Linked DNA regions of Drosophila melanogaster. The protein of the gene in region 1 interacts with the protein of each later gene in a pairwise test. Each region holds a gene or a part of one and is shown in the gene's direction. Other genes may lie near its edges.

Region 1 (4,718 bases):
TTCGTGCCCATGGCTAAATATAAATGAACTAATGCCAAATGCTGACGTACTCTTCTCCGTGTTTTATCCCTAAAAACTGACGCAAATGGCATTGCAAGTACAGGAATAATGGAGCCGTGGATAGCGGGTTGGTGGGGCAAAAACCACGTGCCGAATGCGACGCATGTTTTGAGTCGAGGCGAAAACAAAGGCACGCACACTTCAAAATCGAGTAGTACACCATACTGGACTTACTTGAAACATGTGAGGTAGCAAAGTGTCGCAATTACTTTTAAACTACAAACTATTAATCACTGAACGATGCGGTTTGTACAAGTTGGTCGAAAAAAACTTGTACTTTGTGATTTCACTTGGATGCAGCCGCTGCTCAGAAAATGCAAAAGCTGAATGAATCAGAACGCTTTTGAATTGAATTTAAGCGAGGGAAGTTGAGTTTCTGTTTATGGAGTTGTTTGGTGCGAGAGAGCAAGAGATAACGCAGAGGAGAGTTGATTTAATCAAGCTGAAGCATGGATACCCTTACGTTACAAGACAATAAATGTATCTTTTGGTTATCTGGTTATTTTATGGGGTAGGAAACGCATCCCTCTTCACACAGTCATAATACATATGCTTCGAAAGGGAATATCGGGGAGAGTAAAAGAGAACCGGCATATTTGTTTGTGTCGGTCACTCGTTTTGTTTTGTGGCGAAAGAGCGCCACAAAAGGGGAGCACAAACACGTGTGTCCAAAGAGTTGGAGAAGCAAGAAGCTCTTCCGTTTTAATTAGTCTCCGAATGTCTATTGGGTATATTTCTTATCCGAAAACTGTTGTTGCGTTGGCTCTCAAAACTTCCCCACACGCTTTTGCTGACACGTTTTTTTCTCGATCGCCATTGAGCTGTGCGAAACGTGAATTTGAGCAGTAAAAGAGAATGTCGACTTTAATGATTTTTCAGGTATGAAATATGCCCTCTAATTTTTTTGATCATATTTTTATTTTGTTAACATTCAACTTATTAATAAGAGTTTGCTGAAAATGTAATCCACTTAATTGTTTATCACTTAAAAATTTTTTAGGTAAAGTTCTCTCATATTGATTTAAAATTGCAATGTGAATAAAGTAACACTTCGTGTACCCCTTTTCCAAGTATAACCATTATAAACACAGGATCGTATGGCGCATAATTAATGGCTGTCTATTATTTTTGGACTGTTGCCAAGAGAGACCTACGCCTTAGAAGATTAAACTTCTTGTTTTTGTTTATGGGGCGCAAAACAAGTTTCAAATTTCCGACCGCAGACAAGGCGGGCGAGCGTAATGGAACCATATTACTGAGGTCAAAAGAACTTCGATTATATAATAAGGCCATGTATTCAGTATTCAAGATCAGAGACGCAATGGAAAATAACCTTTGACGTGTGCCAAGGAAAAGCTGCGGCTTTTTTATCCAATGGTACAAAAACCAACTTTGGAATTGATTCAGCCAATCATTGTAACGTAAATAGATTTTATCAACAAAGAGGTAAGAATGAGTACTTCGTGTATGGGGCTTAGCTGAATTTATTAGGAAAGTAGTTTGTAAATATGGTTATTTTTATGTAGATTTTGCTTTTGTTTCTTTTCATTTGTATTATCGAAACGAGTTAGGAAAATGTGTCGGTTAAGATTCCCAGATTCTGATATGTCGCCTTCAGGGAAACAAAGTCATCATGTCATCCAGTGGACATAATTGGAGGACCAATGTTAAGAAGAAGACTCCTCCTTAAAATGTTTAATAGGTTTTAATATGATTAAATAGTTATGAGTTGAGTGAAGTGGGTGTACCTGGGTAGTATTAAGGGCGTATCTAGGCAATATATGGCTCGCAGCAAGTAGCACCAATTCATTACGTCCCTATGTAATAGTTATTTATTCATATGCTAAACATTTGAACATTCGAACTTCGTTAGCAATTTTCGCGCTCTTTCCCCGAAGCCCTATCGATACGTCAATCGATAGGCGAGCTTTCAGAATTATCCGAATGCACCGCGGCGGTCACACTACGGAAAAACAAAAAAGAAATAGCGCTGGCAAAATAGACGTGCTGAGCGCTGTAAAAAGTCAGATTCGTGTTGAAATTGGAATAATAAGTTTTTTATTTTCCGTGCGCTGGTCGAGCTCGTTGCTTCGACAATTCGAAAAGCGATCGAAAGGAGCAACCTTGTAGGCCAACAGCCAGGCGTAATTTACGCAACGCACAACACTCACAAAATCCAAAATTGCACGGGGGGGCAACAATAAAAACAGAGGCAGAACAGAACACAGCAAGAAGAGCGTGGTGAAGAGGAGCGGCGGAGAAAGGAGAACGGTGAACAGGGAACAGGGAGAGAGCAGAAAGGAGAGTCCGAGAAACGGAGGAAACATCATGGCGAACATGGCAGTGTCGCGGATCAAGCGGGAGTTCAAGGAGGTGATGCGCAGCGAGGAGGTGAGTCCCGAGCTCCAAGGCCGAAGGACACTCAAACGGCACCTCGGCAATGCCAGCTGCACCACCGCCCCTGGTCGTGGTGCAGGGGGCGGGGGAGGGTGTCCGCGAACGTTGGTGGCGTTTTTGGCGCGCTTATGGGCTCCGTTTTCTTTGTGAAATGTAAACATTGGCCCCACTGATTTGTTAATTTGGCTTGTAATCCCTGAACAGATCGTCCAGTGTTCCATCAAAATCGAACTGGTCAATGACAGTTGGACGGAGCTGCGCGGCGAGATCGCCGGTCCGCCTGACACGCCCTACGAGGGCGGCAAGTTCGTCCTGGAGATCAAGGTGCCCGAGACATATCCCTTCAATCCACCAAAGGTACGTAATAGCCATGTCAGACTTTGTGCACCTATACAATATGCTAGCTTAGAAATAAACAACTCTTACATGAGTACACCTCATCTTTCAAAAATCGTATCTTATGACTTCACTTCGTAGAAAGTGACACTTCTATGAATCCACAATGTTAACTTGAATTCTGAAAGGCGCAATAAGAACCTGTAACTTGTAATTGAAACCTAAATAAATTGCAAACTTCTTCGCAGGTACGCTTCATAACGCGCATCTGGCATCCGAATATATCGTCGGTTACGGGTGCGATTTGCTTGGACATCTTAAAGGACAACTGGGCTGCAGCGATGACACTGCGCACCGTACTGCTGTCGCTGCAGGCGCTCCTGGCCGCCGCAGAGCCGGACGATCCACAGGACGCAGTGGTGGCCTATCAGTTTAAGGACAAGTACGATCTGTTCCTGCTTACGGCCAAGCACTGGACCAACGCGTATGCGGGCGGACCGCACACCTTTCCCGATTGTGATTCAAAGATCCAACGTCTCAGGGACATGGGCATCGACGAGCATGAGGCGCGCGCCGTGCTCTCCAAGGAGAATTGGAATTTGGAGAAGGCCACCGAGGGCCTGTTCAGTTAGCTTGTCCCAGCCGCACTAGCATCAGTACCATTCGCGGCGGTGGCAGCACCAAGAACACCGGCCAACTTCAGCATCAATCCTTCAGAACGGCAATCACGCTAAATTCTTGTACACTCACGCACCAATATATTTTCGTAAATCTTATCCACGAAATTACATTGCCCTGTAGTTATAATAATTCTCTGATCTGTTCTATAATTTTATTATGATTAATGTGCACATCTTTGCCGCTGGGTGGGTCACCAGAAGGTTGAGCCAAAGGCCATGCCCGCGCCCCATTGAGCATGTGGTGTTATGTAATTGAACCCAGGTTCTGTTTCATTAATTTACGTGCAGTCGCATTTACTTGCAGGCTCTTTCTTAAACAGTACTGTTGTTTTCCATTTCAAGCTTAAACTAAAACACAAACAAAAATGATTTACAAAACAAAATAAATGTGAAGGCGAGGAGTGTATAACAAATCGAAGTCTTTGTAAATTGCGTTAAGTTAATAAATAAATAAATAAAAATATTAATAAATGTCTAATGAGAAGTTATGATTTCGGTTTGTGAAGAAGAGGCTGCAAACTTAAAATAGATTTTTGTAAATCATGCCTAGACTGAAGAATGGAAAATGTAATTTACCCTAGATTGATTGAGATATGTAATGTATATTACTATAATTCTTGTTTAATCCATTTTTTAAGGCTCTGTCTAATGCCAAAATTGAAATAAAATCCAAATTCTTGGTGATTTACAAACCAAATAATTGCACAAAACGTGAAAGTAAAATAGAACCCATCGATATCATCCAGATATAATCATTTATATATATATTCTTCTACATATTCATTTAATTTTTCTACATTTCAATGTGAATATTTATGGTTTGCACTAAATATTTGACTAATAATCTGTCACTAAATATTTGGTCTACGATGCTTGCTGGCGAATCCAATAAGTTAATGACTTCACACATATAATACGAATTTCTACTTGTGCTTTTGCTTGGACATGACGGACACGGAGGAGCCACCAGTTGCAAGTGCGGATCCCAGGCAGCTGCTGTTGCTTTGAGCCACGGATGTGCCAGTGGCATTGGTTCCCTGGATCGTGTGATGGCTGTGACGTTGCTTGAGCATCTCCTTCCATTCGGACTCGAGTCGCACGTAGGAGCCACCAAGCGGTTGGGCATTCTGCACCAGACACTGATCCGTTCCGGTCTTTTTGGTCACATAATTGGCGACCTGTTTCATGATCTTCTCCTCGAAGTCGCGCTGATGATCCTGGTTGCTGCGCGCTGACAACTCGCCG
Region 2 (3,374 bases), 5.4 Mb from region 1:
GCAAAGAAAAACGGAATGCCCTAGAGCAGAATGTGAAGGACCTGGAGGATCAATTGCGGTAAGTGTGAGAATTGTTTAGTTTGTGCTTCAGAACCCGATACCAAAGAGTTTCAGAATAATTGACCTATTTACAACTCAATTTTTCTGCTAAAATGAAAAATATGTTATATTTCATTTCTAGACTCTATATTGTTAGTCTTTCAAATTCTTTTATTTCCCTTATCGTGATTTTCCTTAAATACAACTCGTACATTAGTCGATGTAATACATTAATGGCACTGTCTCATCCTATCGAACACGTTAACCGAATATTTCTAAAAACCACCTAAAAGAGAACAAAATGGTTAATTGAATAACAAATGATCGCATCGATCAATAAACACTGAGCATGCAAACACAAAAACAAAGGGTAATGGAGGTAATATAGGGTAAATTAGGTGGGCATGCGGTGAAAGAAGAATAAAAGTCATCACAACCGGACAGAAAATAGCTTGAAGATTGGGGATTTTAGGTGGTCCCACCAAGGTGCAGATCATTGAGAAACTTCGAGTTGAGTCGCTCGTTGGTTAAATACCTCGCCAGGCTGACACTTGGAGCGCTGCAGTTGCTCATGCCGCGTTGATCCGACTCCGAGGGCGTATAACCCGGTCGGCAGACGCACTTGGCCCGACTGGCGTGGACCAAAATTGAGGTGCCATTCGTGGTTTGCGATTTCAGTGGCTCTAGCCACTGACCCGCGCCGCAGGGTCCTCGGCTATACAGCTTGTGGCACTGCCCATTGATCTCCACCATTCCGGGCGTGGACTCGCATATATTCTGTTCCTTATCCGCTCCATCTCCCGTGCACTGCTGATCCAGATTGGTGAGGACACCGGAACAACCGCACATTCCATTGTAGGAGATGCCATCGATGGATGGCCTGGCGGTGAAGTCGAAGATCACCACCTGATGTAGGGCACACGGGCCTTGAGATCCAATCCTGTAGCAAGAATCTTCCGCTGGGAAGTACAGGCGATTCTTGCCACAGAAGTTGCGCACACAGCTGGTTCCGTTGACCAGGAACTCATTGGGTCCACAGGGACCCCTTGTGTACAGGCGATAGCAGATGCCATCGCTCCAGGGCACATAGCCCTCCTTGCACTGGCACTGGGCACGAGGCAAAAGCTGCAGGGTGCTGCCCGTTGTCTCCTGGACCTCGTCGGGTATGCGAAAGATGTGACCAGGTGGACAGGGGCCAGGAGTGTCTGAAAAATAGGAGAACATTAAATACGATATAGGAGAAAATTATGTTGAGATAGAATTTCAACATTTCCAAGGCGGTAATTGCAAATTAACGGGCTATGTAATCCCAATCCTACCCAGCTCATAGCACATTTGATGCGGAGCATGATAGTGCGGCAAGTGCCGCTGGCAGTCGCATCGACCGCCGGGCAAGAAGATGTGACCCGGCGTCGAGCAGGGTCCTTTGGTGTAGTGCTCATAGCAAGACTCCTCTGCCGGATAGTAGAACGAGGCCAAGTCGCCCACATCCTCGCAACGGCACTCGGCCAGTCCCTCCTCGTTGCGAACGAGGAGTTTACCCCGGCTGCATGGACCCTTTGCATGCCTCGCATAGCACTTGTTGTCCCTCGGCCAGAAGAGCATGTCCTCCGGGCAATGCAGCGGTCGCTTGCACGTACCCCAACGGTTGCCGGTTGCGGTTCTGGAAAGGATTTGCCTATAGTTTAGTTAACTTTTAAACATTTAATTGATATATACGGCACACATCATCCTATATCAATGATCGCCTTGAAGTGAGAAAGTCTGATAGATAATTGTTGATATCACATGAACTGTTAAGATTACTTCATTTTATTTTGAGAAGACATTAGACTTAAACAAAATTACCTGCGCTAGAAACACACACATCGGAAACAATGTCGGCTGATACTTTCGTAATGGACACCAAGGATGAATCGTTCTACGAGTGTAACATATGTCTAGACACCGCCCAGAATGCCGTGGTCAGCATGTGTGGCCATTTGTTTTGCTGGCCATGTCTGTACCAATGGATATTGACGAAACCCGATCACACAGTGTGTCCCGTTTGCAAGTCGGGCGTGGATAGGAGCAAAGTAATACCGGTGTACGCACGAAATGATAAAAGGCAGGAGGATCCGCGGGATAAAACACCGCCGCGTCCAACTGGAATTTGGTCGGATTACGCAAATGATCTCGAGTTGGGACTATTTTCGTACTTGCTTTTTGGTTTATTCTTTCCATATGGTGCCCTATCATCTTATCTGGATATGGACGAGCCACTCAATCCTGCTGCTGATCACGGCATAAGGGATGGGCAGAACGAAACACTCCTTTCTAAGTTCTTTCTCTACGTGGCCATTATGCTCATTATTTATATGATTGTAATTTAGCAAGAATAGGAATAAGATCAAAATAAACCATGATGGTGCAAATGAATCAGTATAACCGGGAAGATGTCGTCCTTTACAAATTATGTTCAGTGAAGTTTTCGGATAATTAGTCATTAATCTTTTTAGTATTGTGTAGCATTATGTAAAACAAATGTAATGAAAAGTAAATATTCAAATGCACTAGGAAACAAAACTGCATTTCATGTTTTAAACACGACAGGTTGTGTCGTAAAAGTAAAAACTGTATGTGAATGTACATACATAGGTTCTTGATGAACTTTCGTTATGCATAAAAACGAGATATCAAAGTAGAATGCTTCCGTTATTGCTTAAGTGCACCAGAACTTTCTCTTAACTCTTGATTAATGTTGAAACCCGAGTTTCGCAATCGAAATCAAAAGTTTCATACGACTAGAGAACAACCTGTAAACCTTCAGTGAAGTGAAAATGCGAACATGGCAGTTGCTTAATTCAAATAGTTTGAGCTAAGAACCGAACTCAACTCACCTCTTGACCTGATCCGGCACGGGTTGGAAGTACTCCTCGGGTTGGCAGGGTCCCCGTTCGTATAGCTTGTAGCACACATTATCGTGAAGCGGACTGAGTGCAGTTCCCGGAGGGCAGCGGCACTCGGCTGCAGGTGCATCCTTACGCTTGGCACTCACTGCGGTGGGACTGAGCTCCATGGTGGCCGGACATGGATAGCCGAGGGTGAAGATCTTGAAGCACTTCTTCAGAGGTGCCCAGTACAGCAGCTGCCAGCCACCGGACATGCTGGCGCACGGATTCTGTGCGGGATCACTCCACGGAGGCGGCACTATTCCGGCTGCCACCTGCTGCGGATTCTGGCCGGTGGTCAGTAGGAGGAGCAGGCAGGTGAGGATGGAGCTGCCCGCCTGCAGAGCAGCCCAGCAGATGAGCACTTTGCGACGCCTCATGGTGAATCTGAAAATCGAAAGTGTT

The links.
Region 2: the proteins of Ubc4 (region 1) and CG32847 interact in a two-hybrid assay, tested with the Drosophila melanogaster proteins (one large-scale study listed by BioGRID).

Annotation. Positions count from the first base shown.
Region 1 is NT_037436.4:9,696,305-9,701,022, forward strand, and holds Ubc4 (ubiquitin conjugating enzyme 4), read left to right. Parts: upstream 1-2,031; 5' UTR 2,032-2,388; coding exon 2,389-2,451; intron 2,452-2,661; coding exon 2,662-2,814; intron 2,815-3,041; coding exon 3,042-3,425; 3' UTR 3,426-4,177; downstream 4,178-4,718. Other genes in the region: CG6761 (uncharacterized protein), read right to left, coding at 4,397-4,718. UniProt on the Drosophila melanogaster protein: Catalyzes the covalent attachment of ubiquitin to other proteins.
Region 2 is NT_037436.4:15,119,706-15,123,079, forward strand, and holds CG32847 (uncharacterized protein), read left to right. Parts: upstream 1-1,866; 5' UTR 1,867-1,916; coding exon 1,917-2,411; 3' UTR 2,412-2,596; downstream 2,597-3,374. Other genes in the region: Cep135 (centrosomal protein 135kDa), read left to right, coding at 1-58; CG16959 (uncharacterized protein), read right to left, coding at 508-1,244, 1,359-1,702, 2,919-3,349.